Linked DNA regions of Macaca mulatta. The protein of the gene in region 2 interacts with the protein of the main gene of each other region in a pairwise test. Links are inferred from orthologs where the notes say so. Each region holds a gene or a part of one and is shown on either strand. Other genes may lie near its edges.

Region 1 (4,871 bases), on a different chromosome or scaffold from region 2:
TGAAATTTATTAAAATTACATTCAAGAATTTAAAGGAAAAAAGGAACATAGCAAGGAGAGAAATAGAAGACATCAGAAAGAACCGTAAGGAACTCCTAGACTTGAAAAGCGAGGAGAGTGGTTTCCAGGCTTGCCTGCCATGTGTTTCGGGTACGTGCACTTGCTAAGGTTAGCGGTCTGTTTCATCCAATGGGGAATCAAAACCTAAGTTAAATTACTTGCCAGGACCTTAGTAAGCAAGAAGCGGTTGTTATATAACCTGACGACTGCCAGATATGTTGGCCTGCGTCATTAGGATACTAAAATCTTGAAAGGGTAAATTTAATGAGCTGAAATTTCATAGCTGAAAATGTAGACTCAAAGCATTTGCACAGGAGTAGACGGTGGTGGAGCAGCGTGTGAAGCAGAGTGTTTTCCTGGCTGCGCCGGTGTGCAGGACCTTCCTCGGAGCCCGTGCAGTTGGAAGGTGCACTCTGGAGCACACCCATTCTTAGCTTGTCTGCCCTGTGGCCCCGGTGGGGCGTTTTGGAGCCGCTGGGAGGAGCGCTCCAGGGACTGTCAAGGTGGCAGTGGGCTGGAAACCGTTGTCTTTGCGGAAACAGTTAGAAATTGAGATTTCACAAGGTTTGATAATGGTTAGATGCCTGGAGAAGCAGCGCATCAGTGAAGAATTAGGCTGGTTTTGTAGGTGCCGAGAGGGTCAGTGGAGGAGCAGTAGGTCCGCGGAGGTGGGCTTCAGCCCAACTGGGATTTCGTCATTTTCTTCCTGGGGTCCACAAGGCTTGCTGGAGGACCTATGGTGCTAAGTGCTCTGTAACTGCTCAGGCAGACAGGAACGCACTGTGGAGCGTGCAGCACTGCCTGGGGGTGGTTGCTTTGGGACATCACCCACATCTGGAGGTGCTCAGGTGGAGTCAGGGTCTTTGGCTGGAGCCGAGCTCTCCACGTTCAACATGCAGGAGGACCACCTTCGAATCTCATGAAATTCAGATTCTGATTTAGTGTAGCCGGGCAATTTCTAGCATATTGCAAGTATCAACATTTTATTATGTGACTGGGCACAGTAGCTCATATCTGTAATCCCTAGCTCATATCTGTAATCCCAGCACTTTGGGAGGCTGAGGCAGGTGGATCATTTGAGGACAGGAGTTTTAAACCAGCCAGGCCAACCTGGTGAAATCCCTTTTCTACAAAAAATACAAAAAAATTTAGCTGGGCATCGTGGTGGGTGGCTGTAATCGCAACTACTTGGAAGGCTGAGGCAAGAGAATCACTTGAACCCAGGAGGCAGAGGTTGCAGTGAGCCAAGATCACGCCACTACACTCCAGCCTAGGTGACAGAGCGAGACTGTCTCAAAAAAAAAAAAAAAAAAAAAAAGCCAACATTTTATTGTTACTTTAAAAAATGTTTTCAGTGGAATCTATGTACTATGGCAATTTAATACCTCCCATTAGCTATTGGTAAAAAATACATGGAAAGTTTTTCTTTTCTCTCCTCCCCTTTCCCCTCCCCCCCTCCTCGCTCTGTTGCCTGGAGCTAAGTGTAATGGTATGATCTTGCCTCACTGAAACCTCCGACTCCCAGGTTCAAGTGATTGTCCAACCTCAGCTTCCCAAGTAGCTGGGACTACAGGCGTGTGCCACCACACCTGGCTAATTTTTGTATTTTTAGTAGAGACAGAGTTTTACCATGTTGGGTAGGCTGGTCTTGAACTCCTGACCTCAGGTGATCTGCCTGCCTTAGCCTCACAAGGTGCTGGGATTACAGGTGTGAGCCACTGTGCCCGGCCCTTCTTACTACATTTTTATGCTTAAAAGTTTTTTTTAATTAGTTATTATAATTCTCTGCAACAAAGCTACATGTATACATTGAAAATTAAAAAGTTTTTCTGTGCTCTTAATACTCTAAGTGTTTAAGAAAATTAAGATTGAGACATGATTACAGTGAAAATTAATACACAGTACATCAAAGCAAATGTATCTCATTTTGATTAAACACAGCAAGTAAAATTTGTCGGAAATGTACCTTTAAGTGTATGGATGAGGCTTTTGTCCTATTAGTTTAATTCCCCATGGACAAACATTGCCAGCACAGCTTTTAATGTCCACTTGAAGAACTTTATTCATTTAAAGAAGTTGGGACTGGAAGGGGTTTTGTCACAGCAACATCACTCCACTCTCAGGCGCTTCTGCGTTCCATGTTGGAAGCCTCAGTTCCTTAGACTCACTCGTAGCGATCTCTGCAGAAGAGTGGAGACGCAGCGAGTCGAGGAAAAATGAAGCATTTCCTCTTCTCTGCTGTGGGAGTCAAGAGGGAGGGACAGGGGTGCACACATGCCGCAAGAGGCAATGCCTAAGACACTTCTCGTTCACCCCGTTCACACCTGTCGCCCCCACAGAGCCGATGATGAGCACCCCACCTCCCGCCAGTGAGCTCCCGCAGCCACAGCCGCAGCCGCAGGCCCTGCACTACGCGCTGGCCAACGCTCAGCAGGTGCAGATCCACCAGATCGGAGAAGACGGACAGGTGCAAGTAGTACGTACCCTCTCCACCTAGCACCTTGGGAAAGGGGGCTGCAGGGCGGGCCACGGCAGGGCCATGGCGGCCTCCACCGGTTCCACTGTTTCGGAAGCACAGTGATAGCTTGGGAGGAGGCACGAGGTCCCCGTTTAAAGTAGAGGTTGTCATAGCCATGCGCTCTTAACATTTCACAGGTGGGGGGCGGCTGCTGCAGAGCCTGGGGATTGAAGCACATGGTGGAGTGGGTGCCCAGCTCACCTTAGTCCTGCCAGCAGTCAGGCGGGCAGTCAGCTGCGAGGGTTAGGCCGTGCGGTGGTGCCTGTCCCAGCTCATGCTCCTGGGAAGCATCAGAAATATTTCTCAGTTCAGAAGCGCAGGTGCCCTCTCACTGAGGGAAAGAGTCATTTCCTTCTAGGATCAGTGGCAAAAGCTTGAGGTCATTGTTCCCATCAGCGTTTGCCTTGGAGTTACTCAGCACACCTGGGTTGGGCGGGCACTGCCCCAGCAGTGAGTCAATGTCCTGCCTTGCCCGTGCAGAGTTCTCTGTTGGGGTTTTGTGGCCCAAGCTGTGGTCAGCCTGATGAGCTCGGGGCTGACTCCCAGGTGAAGTCCCTCTACAGACACCTCCTGGATTCTGTGGCGCAAGAGTAGGGGGTGGCTGAGAAGGAAGGAAGACTTTTCTGGAAGCTTTGCTGGGTGACTAGGAATTTTACATGTACCAGTAGACATCGCTGATGTCTTTAGTGGCACCAGCACCCTTGGGACCTCTGAAGACAGAGGTCATTGTGTGCCTACGTGTCGCCCGGGCTTTCTCCTGGAAACAAGGTCCTTCGCTGTTGAGAGTGGGGCGTGGCTCTCATCTCAGTGTGGCTTCAGCACGCTGTCTGGAAGAGGGAAGGCTTCCAGAAAATTCTGGGGCTTTTAGAGGGGGCATTACCCTTCCTCTTCCAAAGGAGATGAGACAGTTATGAATAGTGAGTCTTATTTAATAAGCTTATTAATTTGTTTGACATTCACAACGTCAGTTCCTCTCATCTTGTTAGTAAGAAGTTCTTTGAAAGAGTTCCAGAGTAGATAACTTTGCCATAAGGCTTACAAAGAACATTCTACAGGAGTTTAAGATCCATTTTGACTAAGAGATAATTTCAAATAAGATAAGGAGTATTCATTTATAGGTTTATAGGAATTATTTGTCTGCCTGTATGTATAAACATTGGATTCTTTGACTTTTTTTTTTTTGAATCACATTTATTAATGTTTACTCAAACTGTTTAAATAGTTATATGAGTGTTTCTTTGATTTGAAAAACGTTGCCTGCCCTGTTGTGAGTGTAGGCACGTGAATAGCTCCCCTGCTCCAGCCACAAGCTCCATGCGTAGCCTCCCAGCTTTCCCAGAGAGCTGAACGTATCATTTGGAAAGAGGTGTCATTCTGATTTTCTGTTTCCCCTCTTTTCTATGTGTCAGGCACATTTTAAAATTTACTTGTTTAGTAACATGTAAAGATGTAAATATCTTTCCTGGGACCTATTGCTCCTTTGTGAAGTACTGGAAGATGTTTTGTGTATATTACACAGTAGCCCCCCCTTACCCATGCCTCCACTTTCCCAGGTTTTAATTACCCATGGTCAACTGTGATCTGAAAATATTAGATGAGAAATTCCAGAAATAAACAATTTGTAAGTTTCAGATTGCATATTCTTCTGGGTAGTAGTATGATGAAATCTGGTCGTCCTGCTCTGTCCCATCCAGGACTGAGTCCTTCCTTTGTCCAGCATGTCCAAGCTGTGTGGCACGTATGGGCAGGAGAAAGCATAGCATATACGGGGTTCAGCACCATCCACGGTTTCTGGTGTCCACATAGTGGGGGGAGGGGTGCTTCTTGAAACAAAACCCTCATGGATGAGGGGGACTGCTGTGAACCAAAAGCTTAATTTAAAGAGGTGACCACAGACTGTATTGCACTATCCAGGATTCAGTTATCTTTTTGAATTATAAGCAGATAAGAACAAACATTCCGGAAGACGTTTCTTGTTTCCTTTGCTTTTGATTTTCTTCTGATGCTTCTTGGTGTCTTCTCTTGCTGCGGATCCCACAGGGACACCTCCACATCGCCCAGGTGCCGCAGGGGGAGCAAGTCCAGATCACGCAGGACAGCGAGGTGAGTCACCTCTTGCTGCAGCACTGTCCCTGCAGGCACGGTGCCCGCGTGCTCTCGACCTTCATCGGTGTCACAGTGCGAGGGCAGCCGGGAGCCCCAGAGGACGGGGAACGTGGGCAAGGGCTTCAGGACTCTGCTTCCAGGGTGCACGTGGCGGGCCTGCAGTCTCTGTGGCCTCACTGCCTCCCCT
Region 2 (4,937 bases):
TGTTTGTAGGCTGCAGGTATGATGTTACGTATATGTGCCTACACACATGTGTATGATTGGAAGGATAAATGAAGTATGTGTGTTTATGTGATTGTATGTATGTATGATTAGATACATTAGTGCATAGCTATGTATGATGTTATGTGTGTACAATGTATGTGCCTATAATTGTATATTTGTATGTTCATATGATCATACGTTCATACAGTTTATGTAAGGTATCTCAGAGTCCGTTTATTTAGACTCTGTCTCTCCCAACTAGAATGTCAATTCCACTGATGGACCCTCAAGAGTAGCAGAAGATGGTTAATGCATGTTTGTTCATTGACTGAATAGACGGATGGATGGATGGGTGGGTGGATGCAGAGATGAATGTGTATGTGTGACTGTATATGTGTGTGTGCATGTATGACTGGAAGCATGGATGAGTGTATGTATGTGCATATATGAGTGTCTAGTGTGTATGATGGACGGATACATTTATATATGTGTGTTTGTATGAACGCATGTAGGTATGATTAGATAGATGACGAATGTATGCACGCATGATATATGTATACATGATGTATGTACACATGTACAATTGTATGTATACATGCATGCATGCATGATTGGATGGATGGATGGGTGTATTTATTTATTTATTTGAAACAGAGTCTCACTCTGTCGCCCAGGCTGGAATGGCACAATCTCGGCTCACTGCAACCTCCGCCTCCTGGCTTCAAGCAATTCTCCTGCCTCAGCCTCCTGCATAGCTGGAATTACAGGCACGCACCACCATACCGGGCTAATTTTTGTATTTTAATAGAGACAGGATTTCACCATGTTGGTCAGGCTGGTGTCGAACTCCTGACCTCATGATCCACCTGCTTCGGACTCCCAAAGTGCTGGGATTACAGATGTGAGCCACCGTGTCCGGCTGGATTGGTGTATTTATGTATATATGAGTGTATGCAGGTGTATGTGATTGGACAGATAAATAAAATGTGTGTGTTTGTGTGATTAGACATAGGTATGATTGGATAAATTAATGTGTATATGTGTACGATGTATGTGTATATGTGTACGATGTATGTGTGTATGATGTATGTGTGTATAATTGTATATTTGTATGCTTGTATAATCAGATGCATGGATGAATGTTCATATGATGTATGTATGATTAGATAGATCCATTAATGTGTGTATGATGTATGTGTGTATGATGTATGTACATATAATTATATGTATAAGACGAATGGATGAATCTACATATGATGTACATGTACAATTGTATGTATCATCAGATGGATAAGTGTATGTCTGATGTATGTATGATCAGATGGACTGGTGAATGTTTGTACAACATATACATGTGTGAGGTATATATGTATGATCAGATGGATGTCTACATAATGTATGTGTGTATGGTGTATGTATGTATAATTGTATGCATGTATGTTTGTATGCTGCAGGTATGATGTTACGTATATGTGCATATACACATGTGTATGATTGGAAGGATAAATGAAATATGTGTGTTTGTGTGATTGTATGTATGTATGGTTAGATTAGTGCATAGTTATGTATGATGTTATGTGTGTACAATGTATGTGCCTATAATTGGATATTTGTATGTTCATATGACCAGATGGATGAATACGTGTATGAAGTATGTATGATCAGATAGATGGATAAATGTATGCATGATGCATGCATGTATAGTGCATGCCTGTATAATTGTATGTGTGTATGTTTGTATTAGATGGATGGATGAATGCCTGTAGGGTATGATGTATGTATGCATGCATGCATGATTGGATGAATGGATGGGTTTATTTATGTATATATGAGTGTATGCACGTATATATAATTAGATGGATAAATGAAATATGTGTTTGTATGATCGTATGTATGGATTAATGTGTATATATGTATGATGTATGTGTGTACAATGTATGTATGTATAATTGTATATCTGTATGATCAGATGGATGGATGAATATGTGTATGATGTATGTATGTATGATCAGATGCTCCATTAATGCATGTATGATGTATGTGTGTATAATGTATTTATGTACACTTGCATGTATGACAGATGGACCAGGGAATGTATGCATGATGTATATGTGTATGATGTATGTATGTATGATCAGACAGATGGGTAAATGTAGGCATGACGCATCTGTGTATGGTGTATTTATGTATAATTGTACATGTGTGTGTTTGTATTAGATGGATGAATATGTGTATGATGTATGTATGATCATGTAGATGGGCAAATGTAGGCATGATGTATGTGCGTATGGTGTATGTATGTATAACTGTACGTGTGCATGTTTGTATTAGATGGGTGGATGAATACGTGTATGGTGTATGTATGTATGATCAGATGGCTCCATTAATGCATGTATGACGTATGTGTGTATGATGTATGTATGTACACTTGCATGTATGATCAGATGGACCAGGGAATGTATGTATGATGTATATGTGTGTGATGTATGCATGTGTGATCAGATAGATGGGTAAATGTAGGCATGATGTATATGTGTATGGTGTATGCATGTATAATTGTACGTGTGCATGTTTGTATTAGATGGGTGGATGAATATGTGTATGATGTATGTATGATCATATAGATGGGTAAATGTAGGCATGATGTATGTGCTTATGGTGTATGTATGCATAATGGTATGTGTGCATGTTTGTATTAGATGGATGGATGAATGCCTGTAGGTATGACGTATGTTTGTGTTCATGCACACACGCAGGTATGATTGGATGGATAGATGGATGGATGGATGAATAGATGCCCCACAGCTGGATGCAAAGTAGAGAGATGTGACCTCAGCACCTTTCACCAACAAGGGTCCTCATCCCTGAGCACCCTGCGGCTCTCCTGGGCCTCTTCCCCACTTACCTACCCCCATCTCCCCTCTTACCCTCAGGTTTGGTTCAAGAACCGCAGGGCTAAATGCAGGCAGCAGCGGCAGCAGCAGAAACAGCAGCAGCAGCCCCCAGGGGGCCAGGTCAAGGCCCGGCCTGCCAAGAGGAAGGCAGGCACGTCCCCAAGACCCTCCACGGATGTTTGTCCAGACCCTCTGGGCATCTCAGATTCCTACAGTCCCCCTCTGCCCGGCCCCTCAGGCTCCCCAACCCCGGCAGTGGCCACTGTGTCCATCTGGAGCCCAGCATCAGAGTCCCCTTTGCCTGAGGCGCAGAGGGCTGGGCTGGTGGCCTCGGGGCCGTCTCTGACCTCGGCCCCCTATGCCATGACCTATGCCCCGGCCTCTGCTTTCTGCTCTTCCCCCTCCGCCTATGGGTCTCCGAGCTCCTATTTCAGTGGCCTAGACCCCTACCTTTCTCCCATGGTGCCCCAGTTAGGGGGCCCAGCTCTTAGCCCCCTCTCTGGCCCCTCGGTGGGACCTTCCCTGGCCCAGTCCCCCACCTCCCTATCAGGCCAGAGCTATGGCGCCTACAGTCCCGTGGATAGCTTGGAATTCAAGGACCCCACGGGCACCTGGAAATTCACCTACAATCCCATGGACCCTCTGGACTACAAGGATCAGAGTGCCTGGAAGTTTCAGATCTTGTAGAGGACGCAGTCTCCATCTCTCCCCGTCGGGCCTCGGGACCCTTTCTTTTCCGAATCTGCTTCCCTGCAGCTTAGATCCCGGGACGGCATCCCTGAGAAAGCAACCGGAACCAGCTGTCCTTCCGACAGCCGTGGTCTCCGCGGTTCCGTGTTCAGCTTACAGAGCCCACCCCTTTCCTCCACAGGGAGAGGCTCCTCCCTCTCCCGGGACAGTTCACAGGTCCTAGTGATTCTCTCAACCCCAACACCGTCTGGCGCGACTGTGACCGCGGAAGTACACCACGAGCTCCAGGCTTCAGAAAGTGGTGCTGAGAACTTGCTCCAAGAAGAAATCAAACCAAACTTGCAGTTGATTTGGGGTCATGTTTAGGTCAGAATCACCATGCCCTTGAACAAGCAGGTAGAGGGGCTTGATTCCTTAACTTTCCACGTGGACACTTTTCTTTGAGACTCGGAGTCTCGCTCTGTCGCCCAGGCTGGAGTGCAGTGGTGCGATCTCAGCTCACTGCAACCTTCGCCTCTTGGGTTCTGGCGATGCTCCTGCCTCAACCTCTCAAGTAGCTGGGATTACAGGTGTGCTCCACCACACCCAGCTAGTTTTTTGTATTGTTAGTAGAAACGGGGTTTCAGCATGTTGGCCAGGCTGGTCTCGAACCCCTGACCTCAAGTGATCCGCCCGCCTCAGCCTCCCAAAGTGCTGGGATTACAGGCGTGAGCCACGGTGCCCCGCCCTACATGTGGACACTTCTTTAGCATATGGTTAAGGACCTTTCTAGAAATTCCAAAGACAGACTTTAAGAAGCCCCATCGGGAAACCTTAGGCCAATGATGCAGTTACATTAAAAATAAATCATCTGGGAATTTTACAGACTTCACAAATGTCAGGCTTACCTGGTAGGTTTAGGGGGCTGTTTGAGAGACAAAGATCTATATTCATATATGTAGCTATACATATATGTCCTTTTTCTTCTTAGTTTCTTTAAAAAGACATTTTATCACTCATTTGCTCATTAGCATATTGGGAATGTGTATATTTGGTAGGGAAATGAAACGCAGCTTGCCTGTTGCATCTCTACTCCTTTCTTCTTTTGTTGTAGGATTTTCTAAAGGTGAGACACTGGTGGAATTGGGGTAGCTGCATGGGACGTACCACCTATAGTTATGGCTATTTCACAGAGAAGAAGCAACTGGACAGCCTCCCATCTGTAAATAAACATGAGACAGGAAGAGGGGGACATAGATTTGGAGGAGGCACTCCTACATTTCGAAAATACATTTCCTTTTTTAGATTTTTTTTTTTTTTTTTTTGGTGTTCAGTTTCGATGGTGGGATTGGAAAATAGAGCTTGACTTGAGGA
Region 3 (5,508 bases), on a different chromosome or scaffold from region 2:
TTCCCTCTTCTCCATCACAGCCTGCTGGGTGACTCAGAGACCTAAATTTTAGGAAATGAAAGTAGAAGGACACTAATTTTTCTCACTTTTGAATTTAAACAAGCAGTCACATTATCGTGCAACTTTGGGTGGCAGAGAATGATGGAAGGGTGACCTGTGACAGTGCCAGTGACTGCTTTGCCTAGACTTCCTGATTCAGAGGGAAGTTATGCAGCACACAAAGGCCACAGCGGCAGTACAGCCTCTTACATAAATAAGTTACATAAATGAGAACAAGTTATGTAAATGTATAAACCAGCAAACATGAATTATAACCATTCACAAATGCCAAGGAGAACACGGTAAGATTCCTCCTACGGTCCCATTTTTTTCTCCTGCACATTATCATAATTGTGCCATTTTATTTCACATCAGAATCAGATGTGGTTATCTGTCATATTTATTAGGGAAAGGAACGCCAAAGGACAAATAATACTTCACATTACTTTTCTGAACCACATATTGTACTTTTGGCAGAAATCCCGTAATAGAACCCGACTTTATATTTGAAAAGAAGTTTATGAGTGTTTATTAATTTATTATGCTCCTTGTAATAAACATGAACACATTATTTACTATTGTACATTTTGCAAGTTGCCATTAAGAACAAGAATGCATTACAAAAATGAATGTGCGTGTACACATGGATATTTGTTATATTATTTGTGATTTCAAGTCTCAAGGGAGTATGTGGACATCAGATGAAAGTCACTGTTCTGCTTGTTGAGGGAAGGTAGTAATTTCGGGGGTTAGGATTGGATTTAAGGTTATCTCATGACTTAATCCCAGTGCTTCCCACGCCAAATGCTGAGGAGGTGCTCCTTGGATCTAGCTGCAATTTGCTTCAGGTGCAATGTGAATGATAAATGAACTTGTTTCTGTCTGCATCCTGTTGGAACAGGAGGCTTGGCTTTTTCTCAAGCACCTCTTTTTTATTCATTCCCTTTAGGGTAATATATCTCTATCTTTTCTGACGTTACACGACTTGCTCATTGTGTAGTGAAAACACATTAACTCAAAACATTTTTTAGCCTTAATTGCCGTTCCTTATAAAGAGAAATATTAAACTTATACCATTTTCAGACATACTATGCTCAGGTGAACTTTCCAATTAGCAACTTCCTTTACTTTGACAATCTATTTCTATGAAATATTACTATTATTTTATTAAATATTATATATGATCAGTCTAACGTAGTAACATAATAGTGGAATAGACGTGATCTTAAAATCTATATTAGCTGTGTGATTTTTGACAAATAACTTTCCCTCTGTTTCCCATCATTTGAAAAAGGACTAAAAGTTCTAAGTGACTCCTAACATTAACAATCTAATACCCTATAATCAAATCTATAAATATTTTCAGCGGAGAGCTTTAAACTTGCCGCTGTGAAGTTTAAGGGAAATAGCACCTATTATATATCAACCCCATCATTTTCTTCTGTTGGCAAAACTGCAGACCCTGCTTGGGTTGTAGTAATACGGTGACCGCCACGTGAACAACATTTTTCTCGGTGTTTTCTTTTAAATATGCCAACTATAGACTTTAACCAGCTGTAAGGCAGTGCCTGAGGTGTGGAGACACCTGAGGAACTGTGTGGGCTTTCTCCCTCGAGGTGGGCCTACGATGAGTTTTAAGCAAAGGGCAGCAGTCACCTGGCACCAGGAAAAACTCCTTGCCCTCTGGAGGGAGTCGCCCCAGGAACGTGGGTTTTGTGTTCCTGTTTCAAGTTGAGTCCTCTAGAACCGAAGAGTCCCAGTCATCTGCCGAAGGTGCCCTCCCAGGCCCCCTGCTTGGGAGCGCCCACCTGGAACCTGGGCATAGAGGAATGAAAATGCAGACCCGCACAAGCGTGAGGACACGCCGGGAGACCCCCGCCCGCCAGGAGTTGGGGCAGGTCCGGCTTGGGCGGGGGCGTCGGGGGAGGGGTGGTGACCCTGAGTCCCGCGCGGCAAGGGCGCGGGCCACCGCAGGTGGGGGCGTCGGCGAGCAGGCAAGCGGGGACGGAGACTCTGGGCTCCATCGGGCTTTGTTCCGTCACGAGCCGAGCCCTCCTTTCCGGAGAAGCCAATTAGATCTCCGACGGAGGAATCATCCGACCTGCGCCCCCGCCGGGAGGGGGCTCGGGAGGGGCGGGGCCCAGCGCTTGGCTCCTCGCGAGCGCGGCCGCGGGCTGCGTGGGGGAGTCCCGGCGCCGTCGCCGAGCCCGGCCCCGCCCTCGCCAGGCCCCGCCCTCGGGGCTTCCCGGGCGCGCGCCGCCCCGCCGTGTCCGCGCGCCACGCCCCCCTGCTCGCGGGCCGCGTGCGGAGCCGCGCGCCCGGGAGGCTCCCGGACCGTGGCGGCGGGCGGCGGCAGCGCAGCCCTCCGCGGGCCATGTCCTCTCCGGCGGTGGCGAGGAGTTCCCCGGGAGGGAGTCGGGAGATGGCCCCGGCGCCGCAGGGCCGAGGCCGGTTCTGGGAAGTGGGCGGCGGCAGCGGCCTTCGGCTGGAGCGCGCGGCCGCGGAGTCGGAGCGCTGGGAACTGCTGCTCCGCCGCGGGGAGCTGCTGGCGCTGGGCGGCCACCTGAAGGGCGCGCTGGAGGCGTTCGCGGCGGCGCTGCGCCGCGGGGCCCCGGCCAGGCCCGAGTGCCTGGGCGCCCTGGTGGACTGCCTGGTGTTCAACTACCGGCTCCGCCACGGGCTGAGCTGGAGCGCGGCCCCGGCTGCGGGCGCGGACGGCGGCGCCTGCGGGCTCCTCAGATGCCTGGGCTGCCGGGGCTTCCTGAGCGAGCCGGTGACCGTGCCCTGTGGCCACAGCTACTGCCGCCGCTGCCTGCGGAGGGAACTCCGCGCCCGCTGCCGCCTCTGCCGGGACCGGCTGCCGCCCGCCACCGCCAGTGCCACTGATGCTGAAGGGACCGCCCCGCGGCCGCCGCCTCTGGCAGCCGCCATCGCCGCCTCAGACTTCAGAACCAGCGTCGTCCTCAACCACCTGGCCGAGAAGTGGTTCCCGGGCCAGCGCGAGCGGGCCCGGGCGGCTGGCAGACTCGGGGAGCTGCTACACCAGGGGCGCTACCGGGAGGCCCTGGCCGCCGCCTGCGAGGCGCTGCGAGCAGGTGACCGCGCGGGGATGCGGCGGGGCCGGGCCGACCGCACCCTCCTGGCCCCGAGGGCCGGGGACCCGGAGCTTGTCTGCGTCCCGGGAGTCTCCTCTGCTTCCCCGGGGCCGCTGGGCCACTGGCGTGTTGGGTCTCGGGGTGCTGGGGGGTGTGGGAGGGGGCGGCGCCCCGGGGTGCTTCGGTCACAATGGGGATCGCCCTGGGAGCCGACTGTGACGCAGCGCGGGGAGGGGCGCTCGGCGCGGGGTTCCCTCGGCCGCGGCCTGGCCGTCGGGCGCGCGCTCCGGGCGCGGAGTGGGTGACCGGAGCCGTGGGTGCCCCGGCGCGGGATGGGTGGGAGCTGGGCTATCCCGAGCGGCCGCTCGCTTCCTGCCGCGCGCTTTCCGGGAATTGACTCTCTCGCGCCAGGCCCGCCGCGGGGAAACGACTGCCGGGGTGGGGAGAGAATCCCCCACGAGGACAACTAGGCCGGGAAGGCGGCGTCTCCCTTCCTCACCCACAAAAGTCACCGGGACAATTGGGAGCCGCGGGAGGGCAGAATTGCATAAGCTGGGGGCGGGGGTCGTTGTGTAACGGGTGACGTCCGGTGGGCGTGGCGGGAGCTCCGGGCGGGCACCCGGCCCCGGGAGGCCCCGCAGGCCGCCGGGCTTGGGGCGCGGGGCGGAGCTGCCCCGGGTGGTCCCTTGCTACCTGGAAATGCCTGAACTGGTTTCTCTCGAAAGTTTCAGCCGGCCTGTTTCAGATCATGCTTATTTCCTATGTACTTTGCAGTGCACCTAGCTTATGGTAAAGATGAGAGGGGCTTCCTGATCCAGAGTTCTTTGCCACGCTTCTCTTGGCCGTTCCACTTAGGATCAAGCTGTGGGGAAAGGCCTTGTAGGTCTTGAGTGCATTTCTTAGTCTCCAAGAAGCAGCCTCGGCCTCCTAACCTAGGTTAGCTAGCACTTTCTTCTTAAGGTGGTTTTAGGCGCTGAAAGGGGGCAGTGTCAAGCTTCTCTTATGTAAAAGGAAGAGTTGTTCTTTAAATCAGTAGTTCTTTACCAGCAGGATTTACCTCCCCTCTCTCAGGGGACATTATCTAGAGCAATATCTGGAGACATTTTTGGTTGCCACCTCTTGTGGGGGTGGTGCTGGTACCGACATCTAGTGGGAGAGGCCCGGGGTGCTGCTCAGACATCCTATGAGGCACAGCAGGATTCCCACAACAAAGAATTATCAGGCCCCAAGTGCCACTGTTGATAAACCTTGTGTTACGCGTATTTCAAGATTTTAGTGTCTATCCATTGGCATGATAGTTGGGGGAATGGCATGATAGTTGGGGGATAGTTGGGGGAATAATCCCCAAGAAAATAGACATCTAGAATAGCAGCTGACTTTAGGTATTACAGGTAAATTTATAGACTGTGTAACTGAAAGGATCATCTTTCGGGTCATCTTTTGTCCCAAGTGCTTAGTCATATTGAACTTACGTCAAGATCTTGCATTGTTTAATATCTTCAGAGTTCGAAGCACAAACACCGGAGATTTTTGTATTCTTTCAGTGCCTTTATGAGGAGTAGGCAGTTATAAAATAGAAAGATAGGCTCAGAACAAAAGAAAAGTGTTTGGAACACAGAATTCTGATACGGATGACTCTGTCCCTCTGGGTGAATAAAGAGAAGAGAAACTGGACTCAGCTGTACAGACCATCTAGTAACTGACCATGGTATGATTTTTAAAGCAAAGAAGCAGATGCCAGGCAGTGAAGACTTGCGCACAGTCACAGTGTTAACTGGTTGAGAGGCAGCGCTGTATCTTCCACTTCCCCTAAACGTTGGTCTAGGGTTCATCCTGCCTTATAGCTTATCTGATGAAAATGTTTATTATACATATCCAAAGAAGTTTTTTTGGTCACTGAGGCTGAAACTTATGGACAGTACTACTGATACAGTGATTCGACCTTAAATTAGGTGTTTCACAAGAATCCAGGTCCTGGGCCATGGAAGAACAGTGAACATATTTGCTAATTGAGGTCTAGCTTAACATTTTGTGACCAATAATAATTAACAGAGATTTTGGTTCTTGTATCGAGGATGTTATGTTTAACAGGAAAAGGCTCTGAAAGATGTAATCTCTGCTTTTTACAAGCTGCATAGATTGCACGTGGGGATTTTGTGCACTTAGCAACTTAATTCTACTCTTGCAGGAATAGAACCCACGTCTTCTGACTTTCACTTCATTAGCTAATTTTTTCCTCATTTTTAGTTCTTTCAAGAATCATTAATTCCATACTTGAAAATGTCCGAATGGCACGAATGAGGATAAGTTTTTTAAATCTTTTGAATTATTAATGTGAAGTAAAATGGGAAAAAAATCTCAGAGCTATTAGAGT
Region 4 (5,442 bases), on a different chromosome or scaffold from region 2:
TATTTAACTATACAGTCATGTTTTATGACATTTTCTATATATATGTTATATTTAATAATAAAAATATTTTTAAAAGAACATTAGGACAATCAAAAGAAAACATAAAAGAAACACGATAAAAAAGATAGCTAAAAAATATGTCCCCACCTCTGAGAACTAAAATCATTCTATATAATTGTTTTTAGCTAAAGAATGTAGGGAGGCCGGGCACGGTGGCTCAAGCCTGTAATCCCAGCACTTTGGGAGGCCAAGATGGGCGGATCATGAGGTCAGGAGATCGAGACCATCCTGGCTAATACGGTGAAACCGCGTCTCTACTAAAAAATACAAAAAACTAGCCGGGCAAAGTGGCGGGTGCCTGTAGTCCCAGCTACTCGGGAGGCTGAGGCAGGAGAATGGCGTGAACCCGAGAGGAGGAGCTTGCAGTGAGCTGAGATCCGGCCACTGCACTCCAGCCTGGGTGACAGAGCAAGAATCTGTCTCAAAAAAAAAAAAAAAAAGAATGTAGGGAAAATTAAAGCTTCTGTGATTTCCCCTGTGACCAAGAGAAAGATAATTACGATAATTTTCAGAAACACTTTGGAATTTAGAATCTTTAAAAATGATCTAAGAATACATAGATAGATGTATTTCCCCAGATGAATTTGTGAAGTTATTCACTTCAAACTTCCCTTTTTGAATGGCGGAAGTCAGCATTTGTTCATTCAACATTTTTAAAAACTGAGTTCCAATTATGTGTTGGATACAGCTAGAAAAATAAATGAATGAATATGCTAATCTGTTGAAAGTTATCTTGAACCAGAAATCCAAATCAATTACTAATGTATTTACCAAGAAAGCACATAACATATTTTTAAACTGTACTTTAAGTACATGGGGCCAATTTCTACATGGAATGCTGAACTTGAAGCTGACACAGAGAAATTCACACAAATAGGCAGTTAGAGGCCTTATTTAATGTATAATTAAATTTAATTAACCATCTCCATCTCTCACTTCTGAAAATGCCATTTTAAAGTAGAGGCAGTCCTCATTTTGCATGGTTCCAGTATATAGATTTCAGTTACTACAGTTTAGTTAATTAACACCAGTTCTCCAACAACACAGTTCAAATTTCAGTTACCATGGAATATTAACTGTAATTACATAAAGTAGTATCTAGCTCTTCAGTTCACAAATTATTACATAGTTATCAGTATCAATAGTATAGTATACTGATATCGTGTACTGATATAATATAGTGATCAGTGCATCATGATCAGTAATTAATTACATCACTTCTTTCAAAGTCTTTTGGTGACTGGTCACTGCAGATCCGTTATTCGGTTAAAGCGCAGACAGCAAAGTGCATAGTTGTGTCACCTCCTTGTCTCCTAGTGATAAGCCCACGTGATGTTTTACAAAAATGAAAATTGAAGGAGGAAATTAGCCAATAAAAAGAGCAGCAAAGAAATAAAAAATGATAATGCTGAGAGTGAAATCTGAATCTAACATAAGTGGAGTTAAAGGAGAAACAGCTGACTATGAGAGTGTTGACACTGCCTCCATTTGATAGACTCTAGAGAAGCAGCCAGAGGAATTTCGAGAAGGCAAACTTATCAACATACTTGAGGAAAGTCATTGTGATGAAAAGGATGAAGACGTCCTACAGAAAGGGTCACTGGCAAAAAGCTTCATTATTAAAGAAACTTTCAGAGATATTTTACAAAATTGAAGGTACAAAGGATAAAATGTAGGAAATTGACCCAAACTTAGAAGTATGACAGTTTGCCAAGACACACAAAAAATGTTTGCTCTCACAAGTTTTACTATGAGAAGAAAACAAGTACTGTTCAAAATACTCTTTTTTTTTTTTTTTGAGACGGAGTCTCGCTCTGTCGCCCGGGCTGGAGTGCAGTGGCCGGATCTCAGCTCACTGCAAGCTCCGCCTCCCGGGTTTACGCCATTCTCCTGCCTCAGCCTCCCGAATAGCTGGGACTACAGGCGCCCGCCACCTTGCCCGGCTAGTTTTTTGTATTTTTTTTAGTAGAGACGGGGTTTCACCGTGTTAGCCAGGATGGTCTCGATCTCCTGACCTCGTGATCCGCCCGCCTCGGCCTCCCAGAGTGCTGGGATTACAGGCTTGAGCCACCGCGCCCGGCCCAAACTACTCTTGATAAGTTTTTTTTCAAGAAAACACTTTAGCTTTCAATGTTTCTAATGTTTTAAGTTAGTGTATGAAAGTTTTACTGTTTTACATTTCCCTATACACTTAGTAAGAAAGTTTTAGTGTTTTGACAATTTTTCAAGGTTATAGAACGACTGTAATTTTTCCCATTGGTGTTTAAGATCTCTTTGAATGGTTTCAGCTTGCAGTCATTTTTCAATCCCACACTAATGTGCAATTGGAAGACTGTATTTTAAATGAGGTAAGAGGCAGCTGTCTTCCTTACATCCTCAAACATCATCAATTCATGCATCTGATGTGTCTGGGCATAGTACTAAACAGGATCTGACCTTATTTTGACCCTACACTCTCCACTTTCGCCAAGAACACTCGCTTAATGATTTCTCCCTGCAAACTGGTTAAAACTGGAACTGGGCCTTGAACCACCCAAAACCACCAAGTTACACCCAAACTAAAAACTCTCCAAGGACTTCCAATTACACCACTGGAAACAAAATCCAAATTCTTTACCCTGGCCCTAAAGTTGCTTGTGCCTTCTGCCCAAATCTCCATCCTCACGCCAGGCCCTCCCCTGCCCGCAACCCGGGAGATCCACCTCTCACAGATCGGCCTCTCGCTGTGTCTCCCTCGGTGGATGTTCTGTTCCGTGCTGAGCTTTCTAGGTTAGGGCCCCTTTACATGCCCTCGTTCACTTTGTCACGTGATAAATGATTCAATGGTTCTCCCTATGGCAGGGCCCCATTAAAGATTTCGTGGGCCCTTTCCTCCATTAAAAAAAGATTAAAAGAAGTTAATGGATTTTGTAGGCCCTAAAAATCTCATTTTCCCCTCCTGATGTGAGAAAAAAATCAAAACACTTTATTTGACTTTACGAGTTCACTTTAAACGAAATGAAAACATTCTCGTGGCCGGGCGCGGTGGCTCACGCCTGTAATCCCAGCACTTTGGGAGGCCTAGGCGGGCGGATCACGAGGTCAGGAGTTCGAGACCAGCCTGGCCAACATAGTGAAACCACGTCTCTACTAAAAATATTAAAAACTAGCAGGGCGTGGTGGCGGGAGCCTGTAATTCCAGCTACTCAGGAGGCTGAGGCAGGAGAATCGCTTGAACCCAGGAGGCGGAGGTTGCAGTGAGCCGAGATCACGCCATTGCACTCCAGCCTGGGCGACAAGAGTGAAACTCCGCCTCAAAAACAAAGCAAAACCAGAAGAAAAAAAAAAAATTATCGTGGCCCCCTGAATCCTCGTGGTCCCTCGGCATGGGGCCTACCGTGCCTGACGGATCAGCAGCCCGGCCCTCGGGCCTGGGGGTCCCGCGGAGGAAGCTCCGGGCCCAGACTCCGCGCAGGCCTGGCCGCCCAAAACAGTATGCGGAGGGATGACCCGACAGCGATTTCGGAGCCTCTCTCTGGGCGTCAGTCCTGCCCCAGCACTCGCCACGGCCCACGCAGCCAACACCTGCCTGAGGACTGGCCAGAGCTCGGCCCACGCCCAGCCTGCGAAGTGGTGCCAGCTGCTCTCGGCTGCCCTCAGCTGCCCTCCCTCCCCGAGGCGTGGAGAAGGGGCCCTGTCTTCGGAAGGCTGAAGCCTCCTCACCTGGTCCTCCCGGCTCTCAGCGTGCGCCTGCGCGTTCGGAGGCGCCCCCGTCAGGCCCGCGCGGCTGGGTGGGAGTCTTACTGCGGGCAAGGCGGGGCCCGGCCGCCTCAGGGTGCGCTTCAGGTGACGCTTCAGGAAAACGGTCTCCAAGTCCCTAGACGCCCTGAGAACAGTCATTCTTTGTCCCTTAGGTAGAATTTTGTCTATTTGTTGGAAATACTGTGCTAAACCTGACATTTTTTCTACCACTTCCCTCCCTGAAACATCCCAGTAGCGCCCCCACCGACCGTGTTATTTGTTTTAACTTTTCCCTTCCACATCATTTCCTTCAGCTAGTCGCTATTTTGTTCACTAAACATCTGTGGTGGGCACATTACGTGCCGTGCACTGTGCTAGGACTGGAGTACAGTGGATGTACAGACGATGGTCCCTGCCCTCATGGAAGTTATAGGCTACCTTCAGAAAGTTTTTTAAAGTCTTTTCAAACTCCTGTATTCCAAGAGGGTCTGTCCCTGTCTTCATATTCATTCTCGCTTATTTGAGGTTGATTCCCATAGTCCCTTTGACGAACTCCAGATGGGGTAGGAGCGTCCTGGTCCTTAACAGTTGGTTGGTCTGGGTCTTCAACTCTGTCTGGTTAAAAAGGAATTCTCTGAATTAGTCCACAGGAGAGGGAAAGAGAATGCTACTTCCAAGCTAGAAATGTACAAGCAGTTTTCCTTGTTTTCTTTATTATTATTATTTTCTCAGTTCATTGCCTAGATGCAGGTTGGAGGTGGGGTGGGACAGTATTTCAATGAATGGCACAGGATAGGTTACATGTTTCAACAGGAAAAGAGTCACCTGCTTGTATTCTAGCCCCACTAAACAATTTTGCTCCTATCAACTGTTCCTCAGGGTAAGAACAGAACTATTTAACTTGTGTCCTTTTTTAAACACTATAATCTGATATACAAGAGAGTTCCTGTGTTTCTGTTGAAAGGGTAGCTTCTCAATCGCTCTTTCCCCCCATATAGTCCAAATTAGCCTTCCTGTCTCTAATCTCCAGATTATCCTTTCCACTGATGTTAGAATTGTCCTTGTAAAAATATTTTGATCATATTCTTTGTCTTAAAAACGGCTTATGTTTCCTTTTCGGTTAAAGGGTCCATTATAACTGACCCCACCTACCTTACTAGGCTCAACCCCAACATTAACTGTCTTACTCCCCTTTGTGTTGCTATGCCAGAATACCACAGAACAAGTAATTTATAAATAAAGGAAATGTATTCTTAAATTCTGGAGGGTAGGAATCCAAGGTTGAGAATCCCACATCTAGTGAGGGCATTCTTTCTGTGTCATCCCATGGCAGAAAGCAGAAGGGTAAGGGAGTACAAAAGAGCAAGACAGCAACAGGGAGCTGAACTCACTTTTACAACAAACCCACCCTTTCAGTAACTAACTTACTTCCAAGATAATGACATTAATCCATTTATGGGGGTAGAGCCCTTATGACCTAATCACCTCTTATTAGGCCCTACCTCTGAACACTGTTCCATTGGGTATTAAGTTTCCAGCAAATGAACTTTGGAGGACACATTCAAACTTGAGCACTAGCCTCACTCCAAACCATACCACCTATTGCTCTTACCTACTATTAATTTCTTTCTGTACCCTCTATAGCATTTATTAAAAATATGC
Region 5 (4,871 bases), on a different chromosome or scaffold from region 2:
TGAGTAACTGGGATTACAGGCGTGTGCCACCATGCCCAGCTAATTTTTTTGTATTTTTAGTAGAGACGGGGTTTCACCATGTTGGTCAGGCTGGTCTCAAACTCCTGACCTCAGGTGATCTGCCCGCCTCAACCTCCCAAAGTGCTGGGATTACAGGCGTGAGCCACCGTGCCCGGCTGACAAGTTGTGTTCTAATAGGATGGTAATCAGATTTGCCAAATAAGAAAATTTCCAGCATTTTTGCCCCCAGTAGTTTCTCCATTTGTTTCCAGACACAAAACTCTGATTGTCACTTATACCTAGTCCCTCCTTAGATACCTGCCAGCTCTAGAGTTACAGCCAACTCTTTCTTCTCCCTCTTCTTGGTGTGGCCCAGGCATTGCATCTGTCTGGATTCCCCCCATGGCTCTAGCATGCAGGCCTTCCCTGGAAATCAACTTTGTCCCACCATTCTTTGGGTCACATCCTAAGAGGTCTTGGACACTCTCTCCACCTCCTAGGCTTTCTGAGCTCTGGGCAGGGGGACACTGAGCTTCTTCCTGTGTTTCAGATGCAGATGGCAGAGCTATTGGTGTCCCATGGAGCTAGTCTCAGTGCAAGGACATCCATGGATGAGATGCCAATAGGTGAGTCCAGCACAACAGCTGGTGTGCACAAATAGACAGTTATCAATTTTTTGATGGGTAGAGGGAGAAATAGATAAATATATGGTTGTATAGACTGATGGATTGGTGTATAGATAGACAGATGGATTAATTAATGGATGGTAGATGAATGGACAGATGGACAGATGAAGGGATAGATGGATAAATGGATGAATGGATGGATGAGAGGGGTACATGGGTAGATATTATGAGGTATGGTTGACTGGATGGGTGGGTGGGTGGATGGATGGATGAATAGATAGAAGAATAAGTGGATGAGTGGGTAAAGGATGAATCTGAATAGATGGCTCTTTCAGCAGTGGGTAGATAGCTGGATGAAGGGGTTAAGTAGAATAGATAGGAGTATGTAGCTTTCTTAGCATTTTTGCATAATTTATTGCTTGGGCTATGTGGGGTACCTGCTTATTTCCCTCATTACTTCTGTCAATGAAGACTTGAGGACTCTTCTTGGAGACTATCAAAGAGGAACATGAATCCCTCGGTCATAGCTGGGAACCTTAGGAATTGTGACTGTGCCCAGAACCTGGGTTTCCCATTCTTATAATCCTCTAAGGTTTGGGTTGCAGCCCAGGAACTTAGGCTGGCATTGTTTGCTTCCCTCCCTGCATGCCCCAAAAGATGCTTGGAGTTTTCATTGGGTTGGGGTGGTAGCTCGTCTGGTCTGGAGCACCCTCTTGGGCCACAGGTCCTGGCCCTGTCCCCCACAACAGACTCCTCTGCCCCTTCAGACCTGTGCGAGGAGGAAGAGTTCAAGGTCCTGCTGCTGGAGCTAAAACACAAGCATGACGTGATCATGAAGTCACAGCTGAGGCACAAGTCATCCTTGAGCCGGAGGACATCCAGCGCAGGCAGCCGTGGGTGAGTCCAGGGCAGGGCAGCCAAGGGTCCCCGTGCGTGCTCCTGCCTGTGGCGCCTGGGTGCAGCCTCCAGCACCCACTTTGTCCTCTCAGGAAGGTGGTGCGTCGAGCCAGCCTGTCGGACAGGACCAACCTGTACAGAAAGGAGTATGAGGGAGAGGCCATCCTGTGGCAGCAGCGGAGTGCAGCCGAGGATCAGCGGACCTCCACCTACAACGGGGACATCAGGGAGACCAGGACAGACCAAGAGAATAAGGACCCTGTGAGTGGCCTCACTCTCTGCCCCAGTGTCAGCCACTGCAATGGGAGGAGAACAGGGCCAAGCCTGGCCTTGCCTCTTCAACTGAGAGCCTTCAGAGGGAAGTAGCCAGGCACTGCCCTTAAACTAGCATATCCAGTCTGATGGTGGTGGCTACTGTAGTTCAGCCAGCAGTTTCAGTCTGATGCTGGTGGCTGCTGTAGTTAAAGAGGTGATCAGGGAGCGTGTTAGAGGCTGAGCTGGGTGCTTTGGCACACAGGTGCGTCTCCTAATTGACAGGGGGTGAGTGTCCGCTATGTGCCTAGCTATGCTCCAGCACACCTAGCAGTAGGCTTCCCAGAAGAGAGCTTCAATAGGGCAGTCACCCAGGAGCTGAGGGAGCTACAACTTCTTTTTCAGGAAATATAACAAGATATTGAGAATTGTGTTTATCAGAACATGCTTTTTGAAAAATGGAGTAGGATCCTAGTAGGACCTCTGAGAAGCCTGCTCCTGTAGCAGCCAATGGTCCTTTAAGCTTTAAGCTGCTTTCCTAAGGGAACACATATTCATTTCTGGTGGTTGCTTTGAGAAATTTTCACAAACTGGATGGCTTAACACGGTGGAAATTTATTCTGTCTCCGTTCTGAAAGCCAGAAGTCTAAAATCAAGGTGACACAGCGTTGGTTCCCTCTGAGGGCTCTCAAGGAGATTCTGTTCCATAGCTCTGTGAGCTTCTGGTGGCTCAGGCATTCTTTGGCTTTTGCTAGCATGATTCTAGTCTCTGCTTCTATCGCCACATGACATTCTTCTTTGTGTGTGTGTGTGTGTATTTTCTCTTTTTATTTTTATTTTATTGGATTTTTTTTTTTTTTTTTTTTTGAGACAGGGTCTTGCTCTGTTACTCAGGCAATGGCATGATTATAGATCACTGAAGACTCCAACTCATGGGCTTAAGCGATCCTCCCACCTCAGCTTCCCAAGTAGCTGGGACTATAGGTGGGAGCCATCATGCCTGGCTAATTTTTAAATTTCTTGTAGAGATGAGGTCTTGCTATGTTGCCCAGGTTGGTCTCAAACTTAGCCTCAAGCAATCCTCCCACCTTGGCTTCCCAAAGTATCGAGATTACAGGTTTGAGCCACTGTACCTAGCCTGTTTTTTCCTCTTATAAGGACACCAGTCATTGGATTGGAGCCCATGCCAATCCAGTATGACCTAATCTTAATTTAATTTATTACACCTGCAAATACCTATTTCCAGATAAAGTCACATTTGGAGGTTCCAGGTAGACATGAATTTTTGAGGGACACTACTTAACCCAGAACCAACACACTCAGCATGGCTGCTTTATTGCTGAGTGGAGTGAACAAGTTTGGGGCTGGAGTGGAATTGCTGAGGACGAGGGAGAAGCTAACTGTACCAGAGGTGGTCTGCCATTTTTGTTCTTCCACCACACCATGAACAGATGAAAACATGCCTAGAGAGTTTAGCTTTGCTGGGATGCAATTGATTAGCTACCCAGCATGCCCACGTGTCTCAGAGGGACCCTGCTTCCCAGCATGAACAGTGAGGTCACCTACTGTCTGTCTCACCAGGAGGTGTGAAGGTGCCTGCCCAAGGGGAGGCCACATCAAAGCCACCAGCTGGTGATGGAGAGGGCACATAGGGAAGCTTTGTTCTGCCTGGCCCCTTAGTCTGAGGATTGGTGAGAAAAGAGACATAGATCAAGATCAAATCACATTTCAGATGTCTCCCAGCTGTGCTTTATTTATTTTTCCTTTGTGATTGTGGTGTAACTTAAGTATGGTAAAGCAGACAAACCTTTTTTTTTTTTTTTTTTAATGATATGGAGCCTTGCATGTTACCCAGGCTGGAGTGCAGTGGTGTGATTTCAGCTCACTGCAACCTCTGCCTCACGGGTTCAAGTGATCCTCCTGCCTCAGCCTCCCCAGTAGTTGGGATTACTAGTGCCCACCACGACACCTGCTGGATTTTTGTATTTTTAGTAGAGATGGGGTTTCACCACGTTGGCCAGGCTGGTTTTGAAGTTCTGACCTCAAACAATCCGCCCACCTGGACCTCCCAAAGTCTGGGCTTACAGATGTGAGCCACCATGCCTGGCCAAGTAGACAAATCTTAAATGAGATTTTCAACAAACTTTTACAAATGTACACACTCAGATGAATTCATAGAGCATTTTCATCATCCATGTTCTCTCTCTGTCGTTTCCCCCACTCCAAATGTAGCCACTATCTAACTTTGAGTTCTAAAGATTAGTTTTGTATATGCATATGAATAGACACTGTAGTTTGTCTTCTTTTATGTCTGGCTTTTTTAACATCTGTGAGAGTCACCCACGTTGTGGCATATAGCAGTAGTTCTGTTTTTGTTTTTTGTTTTTGTTTTTTTTTTTGAGACAGGAGTTCACTCTGTTGTCTGGGCTGGAGTTCAGTGGTGTGATCCTAGCTCACTGCAGCCTTGACCTCTCGGGATCAAGTGATCCTTCCACCTCAGCTTCTTGGGTAGCTGGGACTATAGGTATGCACCAACATGCCTGGCTAATTAAAAAAAATTTTTTTGGCCGGGTGCCGTGGCTCATGCCTGTAATCCCAGACTTTGGAAGGCCAAGGCGGGTGGATCACAAGGTCAAGAGATTGAGACCGGCCGGGCGCGGTGGCTCAAGCCTGTAATCCCAGCACTTTGGGAGGCCGAGACGGGCGGATCACGAGGTCAGGAGATCAAGACCATCCTGGCTAACACGGTGAAACCCCATCTCTACTAAAAAGTACAAAAAACTAGCCGGGTGAGGTGGCGGGCGCCTGTAGTCCCAGCTACTCAGGAGGCTGAGGCAGGAGAATGGCGTGAACCCGGGAGGCGGAGCTTGCAGTGAGCTGAGATCTGGCCACTGCACCCCAGCCTGGGCGACAGAGCGAGACTGCGTCTCAAAAAAAAAAAAAAAAAAAAAAAGAGATTGAGACCATCCTAGCCAACATGGTGAAACCCCGTCTCTACTAAAAATACAGAAATTAACTGGGCATAGTGGTGGGCACGTGTAATCCCAGCTACTCAGGAGGCTGAGGCAGGAGAATCCCTTGAACCCGGGAGGTGGA
Region 6 (5,431 bases), on a different chromosome or scaffold from region 2:
CCGAGAACCAGATTAGGGTGGGTCTGAGATAACAGCTATCAGCAATTTGGTGGTGGAATTAATGTGGTATCTGAGGAGATTCCATTTGCGGCAAAGCAAGGAAGATTTCATGAGATCAGAATGGCAAAGTCTTGAAATCAAGTTAACAGTGGTTTGGTGAAAATGAGACCTTTACTTGAGGAAGATTTTTAAAATAATATAATGGAAAAATCCATTGGAAAAGATCAAGCATGATTATTTCATATTTATTTATTATTATTATTTTTTAGAGACAGAGTCGCACTCTGTCACCCAGGCTTGAGTGCAGTGCCGTGATCTTGGCTCACTGCAACCTCTGCCTCCTGGGTTCTAGCAATTCTCCTGCTTCAGCCTCCCACGTAGCTGGGACTACAGGCACACACTGCCATGGCTGGCTGATTTTTTGTATTTTACTAGAGATGGGGTTTCACCGTGTTGCCCAGGCTGGTCTCAAACTCCTGACCTAAGGCAATCCACCCGCCTCGGCCTCCCAAAGTGCTAGGATTACAGGCATGAGCCACGGCGCCCGGCCAATTTTTATTCATTACCAAATGATTATTATTTTTGAGACAGAGTCTCACTCAGTTGCCCAGGCTGGAGTGCAGTGGCGCAATGTCGGTTCACTGTTATCTCTGCCTCCTGGGTTCAAGCAATTCTGCCTCAGCCTCCGGAGTAGCCGGGATTACAGGTGTGCACCATCACACCCGGCTAATTTTTGTATTTTTAGTAGAGACGGGGTTTTACCATGTTGGCCAGGCTGGTCTTGAACTCCTGACCTCAAGTGATCCGTCCGCCTCAGCCTTCCAAAGTGCTGGGATTGTAGGTGTGAGCCACCCCTCCCAGCCAATACATGATTATTTCAAAAGATGAGTGTTTGAACTAGGACGTAGACGTGGGAGTGGTAAGGGAGGGACATATTGCTAAAGATAAGGAATTTGGACCATCTAACAAATATTATAGATAATTTAAAAAATTTGTTTTTATTGTATTTCGTTTGAATTAATGACAGAATATCAAAGAAGAGACTATACAGATTAAGCGTTGTTACTAGTATATTAAGTGGAGATATGGGTAACTAATTCAAATGAGCCCAGGGCAAAGTTCTTTAAAGGTGTGTCAAAGCGAAACCCAACCTCCTAGAGGGCTCCTTCAACTGTAAAATGGGGATGATAATAATATTATTTATTGCATAAAATTGTTTTAAGATCAATTAACATAAAATGCTCAGTATAGTGCCAAGCACAATGTAAGCATTTAATATACAGTAACTGCTATTAACGTATTTACTACTATCATAGCTTTTTATAGCTTTTTTTTTTTTCTTGTCTACTTTTCTTCTGTGAGCCACCAGTTTTCGGCAGGGTTGGACGTTTGTTCAGCACACGTCGCCAAGGTCGGCTTTAAAAATCAAATCTAGATTGTGAACTATGAAAACTGCGGAATTATCAGTGCTGTGTAGCTATCTGACAAGTGATAAAATGTGTCATTAAGATTTTTACACATCCCCGTGCCCCAGAATGGCATCTCCTGCTAATCGTCCCCCCCGCGACAGATGATAGTACATCCCACACTGTTGCTAGAAAAGATGGTGCAAAAGTTGAGCGCGTCGACGACTCTTTTCTGCCGGAAACAATTTTTCCCTAGACCCGGAAGCAGTTGTTGTTTCAAGGGAGGTGGGACTGGGCGGGTCAGGCCGCAGCCGCTGACGGCGGGGGAGGAGCCGGGTCCACTGCCGGGTGGAGGGGCAAGGCGAGTGTGTGTCCTTATCCTAGCAATTGGGGCGCGGGCCTGTGAGCCAGTTGGAGTTGCGGCGGCGGGAACGATTGGGCCGAGCAGAGGACGACATGTTGCTTTTCGTGGAGGTGAGTGGATTTGCTAGTCTCGTCCTGCTCTTAGGAGAGCAGGAGTGTAGAGGCGCCGGCCGGTCCCACCGCCATGTGACTTTCCGGGCCGTACACGCCGCGGAACCGGCAGATAGGCTGACACAGCACCTGGGCCGAGCAGGCCTGCAGCTTCCCTCTGCGCGCTCACAACACTCTAGGAAGCTATGGGAGGTGATGCCCGTAATGGAGAAGAATTGAAGGAGAAGAACGGAGGGCTGGTCTGGTGTGGCGTGAGGTTCAGAGGAGGGGTAAAGTGTCCCATATGGACCTCCTAAAGGAGACGGCATTGGGGGGTTGGGGGGCGGAGTCTGAGAGGAGAGGGTAATCAGGTGGGCGCGTTCCGGGGGCCGAGCGCGGCCTCGCGGGGCCCTCTGGGAGGGAGGCGAGCAACATGTGGGGCCACGGATGGAGGAAGGTGAAATGCGGTAAGTGTTTTGAAAAGAAAATTGAAAAAGTTCTTTGAGCAACCTCCACCAAATTCTGCCCGGGCCCCGTCCCTAGGTCTCTGGAACGTTCTGTGGGTGAAAGCGAGTTACTTTGAATCGAGGAGAAGCCAGTAGGGTTTGGAAGCCTTGAAAGGCACCGCTTTGACCTTTTGTAAAAGTTACTCAAGCAGCAACTGCGTGATGAAGGGTTGGTTCTATGAACCGATTAAAAGCCCTTTACAAGGAAAATTCCAAGAAGGAGAGAAACTTATTCCGGGAAAAGCCGGTGTTTGTAATGTTATTTGAACAATGAGATACTTTTATTACTTAAACTAGAACATCTGCTGTTGGCCTATTTAGTTTTCAAGATAGAGTTGGAGACCTGCCTTACAGAAATACGAAATTTAATTTCCCTTCATTCTGTCCTCTTGTGTGCAGTAAGCGTCAGCTGACTGCCTGGCTAATGCTTTGAGTAGATTCCAGATCATATTGTTCTTACATTGTGAAAACGTCAAACCAGCAAAGCTGCAACTTCGCAACTTGGCGTTTGTTAACTATGCCCATAAAAATAATCTTTTCAATGAGGGAAGGAATTTACAGGTTGTATAATGGGTCTAGGAGCCGGGGCCAGCCTATGGCAGATTTTTTTTTTTTCCGGGTTGTGGGAAAATTTTTATTATTTTATTTTTTAATTTTTCGACTTTTTTTTTTTTAAATTATACTTTAAGTTCTAGGGTACATGTGCACAACGTGCAGGTTTGTTACATATGTATACACGTGCCATGTTGGTGTGCTGCACCCATTAACTCGTCATTTACATTAGGTATATCTCCTAATGCTATCCCTCCCCCCTCCCCCCGTGGGAAAATCTTAATCCATAATGTTCCAGCATAAAGTAAATAAATGATTTTAGGTTTTTTTTTCTGTTTAACTGACATTGTGTCGCCGATAAGCTTGACATCTTTAGTGTTTTAAAAGACTGCTACATTAGAGTATATCTAACATTAATAATAATCATTCATTGGAACATCCGGGGAAATCATGAAAAGATTTAAAATTACTGAACTCATTCTGTTTACTGTTTTCTATCCTCATTGTTGTTTTCCTTAGGCAGAATAAGAAATCAGATAGGATTTTAAGACATTGCCGGCCACTTTGTTTTAGGAATGTTATGCTATGTAAATACCACAGGTTTTAAGTGTGTGTTTTGCTGAGCGGAAGAAAGATTGTGGAGTTTATATTGACGGGAGCTCCACAATATACTTTTGACTTCCAAATTGATTCCTTTGGCTTTATTAAAATGTAAGTTTTAATAACAGCCCCATTTATTGTTTAAATTAGGTCCTCTCCTGTCTCTAAAGCAATACTTAAAATATTCTACAGATGACAAAACCGAGCCCCAGAAGTTAAAGTAACTTTACTTAGTAAAAGTAAAGTAGTGTAACTGGGATTTAGATCCAGGTGTTGCTGATGTCAAATCATGGACGGGATGTTAGCAGTTCAGGCCTGTCCAACTCCCCAGGTTAGACAAATTCTACCATATCTCTGCCAAACTATTATTTAAAAGTTGTATCTCCATTAATCATTTTCTTTGTGAATTACTATGTCGTTCTTCATTTTCTCATATGAGTTTTATTGAAAATTCGCTGTCTTTAAATATTTGGGGCTGAATATGTGGTTTTAAAATCAGTGACAAACAACATATTGGTCATTTGACGTTTTGTTAACTAGTATTTGATCCCAGTAACCTCATGATAGAGGAATTATTCTCAGTGAGAGAACCAAAGCTCAGAAGTTAGATATCTAAGGTCATTCAAGTGTAAATAATGTGGGGGTTAAAGTCTGAAGTCTGGCTTCTAGAACATAAATTTCTGGCTCCAAAATTATTTTTGCACTTTCCCATAAGTCAAAGGTTCTGAATCTAGGTTTTTGGATAGAATTGAGGAAGTAAGTACCTGAGCTTGGTTGGGGAAAAAAAATTGTTTATTTTCACTAGTTTCTAACTGAAATCTAAATGGAAAAGAAGTGAAAATTCTTTAAATGTTAATGGCAGCAACAGTGTCTGTGACCTTGTCACCAAGACAAATCACTTTTTAACATATATTACAGTTTTTGCAGATATCTTGAAATATTTATGCTCATTACTTGCTATATGTCAAAAATATTGTTATTTAACGTATTGCTATATTAGACATTTTAAAATATTTTGACAACTGTGTTTCAATATAATTAGTTTACTTTGTGATCCTATATATTTTAGAAATTTAAAAAAACTCTGAGAAGGGATCCATAGATTAATTGGACTACTGAAGAGGTCTTTGTCACAAAAGAGGTTAAGAACTGCTTTACTAACCAAGTTGCTTGTGGATCATCTTTGGCAGGATTAATCTGGGATCCCTGGGTCCTCTGCAATTGTGTTCAATACCGTTTACTAATGTGTATTTTTCTGGAGAGATTCCAGCTTAACTATCCCACTAGAATCAGTAGAATAGATAATAGCAATATAACAATAATAACAGTAGTAGTACATACTTGTATTGTACTTTGTGTCAGGAACGTTTGATGTTTTTGTATATATAGATATCTGTACATCTTAAGTCTCAATATCTCTATGAGGTGTTAGTATCCCCATTTTAGTGATAAGGAAACTAAGGCAGCCAGGCACAGTGGCTCATGCCTGTAATCCCAGCACTTTGGAAGACTGAGGTGGGCGGCGGATCACCTGAGGTCAGGAGTTTGAGACCAGCCTGGCCAACATGGTGAAACCCCATCTCTACTAAAAATACAAAAATTAGCCAGATGTGGTGGCACACACCTGTAATCCCAGCTACATGGGAGGCTAAGGTAGGAGAATCGCTTGAACCTGGGAGGCAGAGGTTGCAGTGAGCTGAGATGGTGCCACTGTATTCCAGCCTGGACAACAGAGTGAGACTGTCTCAAAAAAAAGAAACTAAGGCACAGAGAATTTAAACTTGCCTAAGTTTTTACACAGTTAGTGAACGTGGAAGCTTGAACTCATCAACCACCTACTTATATTGGAGTAGAATATATTGCAGACAAGGAATCCTATGTAAATAATACTTAGATGCAAGTTTTTAAAACCTG

What was found.
Region 1: the proteins of CRX (region 2) and BANP interact in binary tests that used the Homo sapiens proteins (3 or more experiments, as listed by UniProt). The two-hybrid records come from large-scale screens. The link is inferred for Macaca mulatta from reciprocal best matches to the Homo sapiens genes CRX and BANP.
Region 3: the proteins of CRX (region 2) and LONRF1 interact in binary tests that used the Homo sapiens proteins (3 or more experiments, as listed by UniProt). The two-hybrid records come from large-scale screens. The link is inferred for Macaca mulatta from reciprocal best matches to the Homo sapiens genes CRX and LONRF1.
Region 4: the proteins of CRX (region 2) and M1AP interact in binary tests that used the Homo sapiens proteins (3 or more experiments, as listed by UniProt). The two-hybrid records come from large-scale screens. The link is inferred for Macaca mulatta from reciprocal best matches to the Homo sapiens genes CRX and M1AP.
Region 5: the proteins of CRX (region 2) and PPP1R16B interact in binary tests that used the Homo sapiens proteins (3 or more experiments, as listed by UniProt). The two-hybrid records come from large-scale screens. The link is inferred for Macaca mulatta from reciprocal best matches to the Homo sapiens genes CRX and PPP1R16B.
Region 6: the proteins of CRX (region 2) and LARP4 interact in binary tests that used the Homo sapiens proteins (3 or more experiments, as listed by UniProt). The two-hybrid records come from large-scale screens. The link is inferred for Macaca mulatta from reciprocal best matches to the Homo sapiens genes CRX and LARP4.

Annotation. Positions count from the first base shown.
Region 1 is NC_133425.1:83,421,329-83,426,199, forward strand, and holds part of BANP (protein BANP), read left to right. Parts: intron 1-2,399; coding exon 2,400-2,536; intron 2,537-4,609; coding exon 4,610-4,681; coding exon of another isoform or gene 4,682-4,721; intron 4,722-4,871. UniProt on the Homo sapiens protein: Controls V(D)J recombination during T-cell development by repressing T-cell receptor (TCR) beta enhancer function. Binds to scaffold/matrix attachment region beta (S/MARbeta), an ATC-rich DNA sequence located upstream of the TCR beta enhancer.
Region 2 is NC_133424.1:60,319,937-60,324,873, forward strand, and holds the end of CRX (cone-rod homeobox protein), read left to right. Parts: intron 1-2,933; coding exon 2,934-3,581; downstream 3,582-4,937. UniProt on the Homo sapiens protein: Transcription factor that binds and transactivates the sequence 5'-TAATC[CA]-3' which is found upstream of several photoreceptor-specific genes, including the opsin genes.
Region 3 is NC_133413.1:13,057,551-13,063,058, reverse strand, and holds the start of LONRF1 (LON peptidase N-terminal domain and RING finger protein 1), read left to right. Parts: upstream 1-2,328; 5' UTR 2,329-2,413; coding exon 2,414-3,134; intron 3,135-5,508.
Region 4 is NC_133418.1:50,146,776-50,152,217, reverse strand, and holds the start of M1AP (meiosis 1 arrest protein), read right to left. Parts: upstream 3,786-5,442; 5' UTR 3,763-3,785; intron 3,730-3,762; exon of another isoform or gene 3,437-3,729; intron 2,811-3,436; exon of another isoform or gene 2,678-2,810; intron 1-2,677. UniProt on the Homo sapiens protein: Required for meiosis I progression during spermatogenesis.
Region 5 is NC_133415.1:91,777,300-91,782,170, forward strand, and holds part of PPP1R16B (protein phosphatase 1 regulatory inhibitor subunit 16B), read left to right. Parts: intron 1-550; coding exon 551-626; intron 627-1,393; coding exon 1,394-1,523; intron 1,524-1,615; coding exon 1,616-1,784; intron 1,785-4,871. UniProt on the Homo sapiens protein: Regulator of protein phosphatase 1 (PP1) that acts as a positive regulator of pulmonary endothelial cell (EC) barrier function. Involved in the regulation of the PI3K/AKT signaling pathway, angiogenesis and endothelial cell proliferation.
Region 6 is NC_133416.1:57,585,245-57,590,675, forward strand, and holds the start of LARP4 (la-related protein 4), read left to right. Parts: upstream 1-1,923; 5' UTR 1,924-2,065; coding exon 2,066-2,149; intron 2,150-2,207; exon of another isoform or gene 2,208-2,326; intron 2,327-2,968; exon of another isoform or gene 2,969-5,027; intron 5,028-5,252; exon of another isoform or gene 5,253-5,259; intron 5,260-5,431. UniProt on the Homo sapiens protein: RNA binding protein that binds to the poly-A tract of mRNA molecules. Associates with the 40S ribosomal subunit and with polysomes. Plays a role in the regulation of mRNA translation.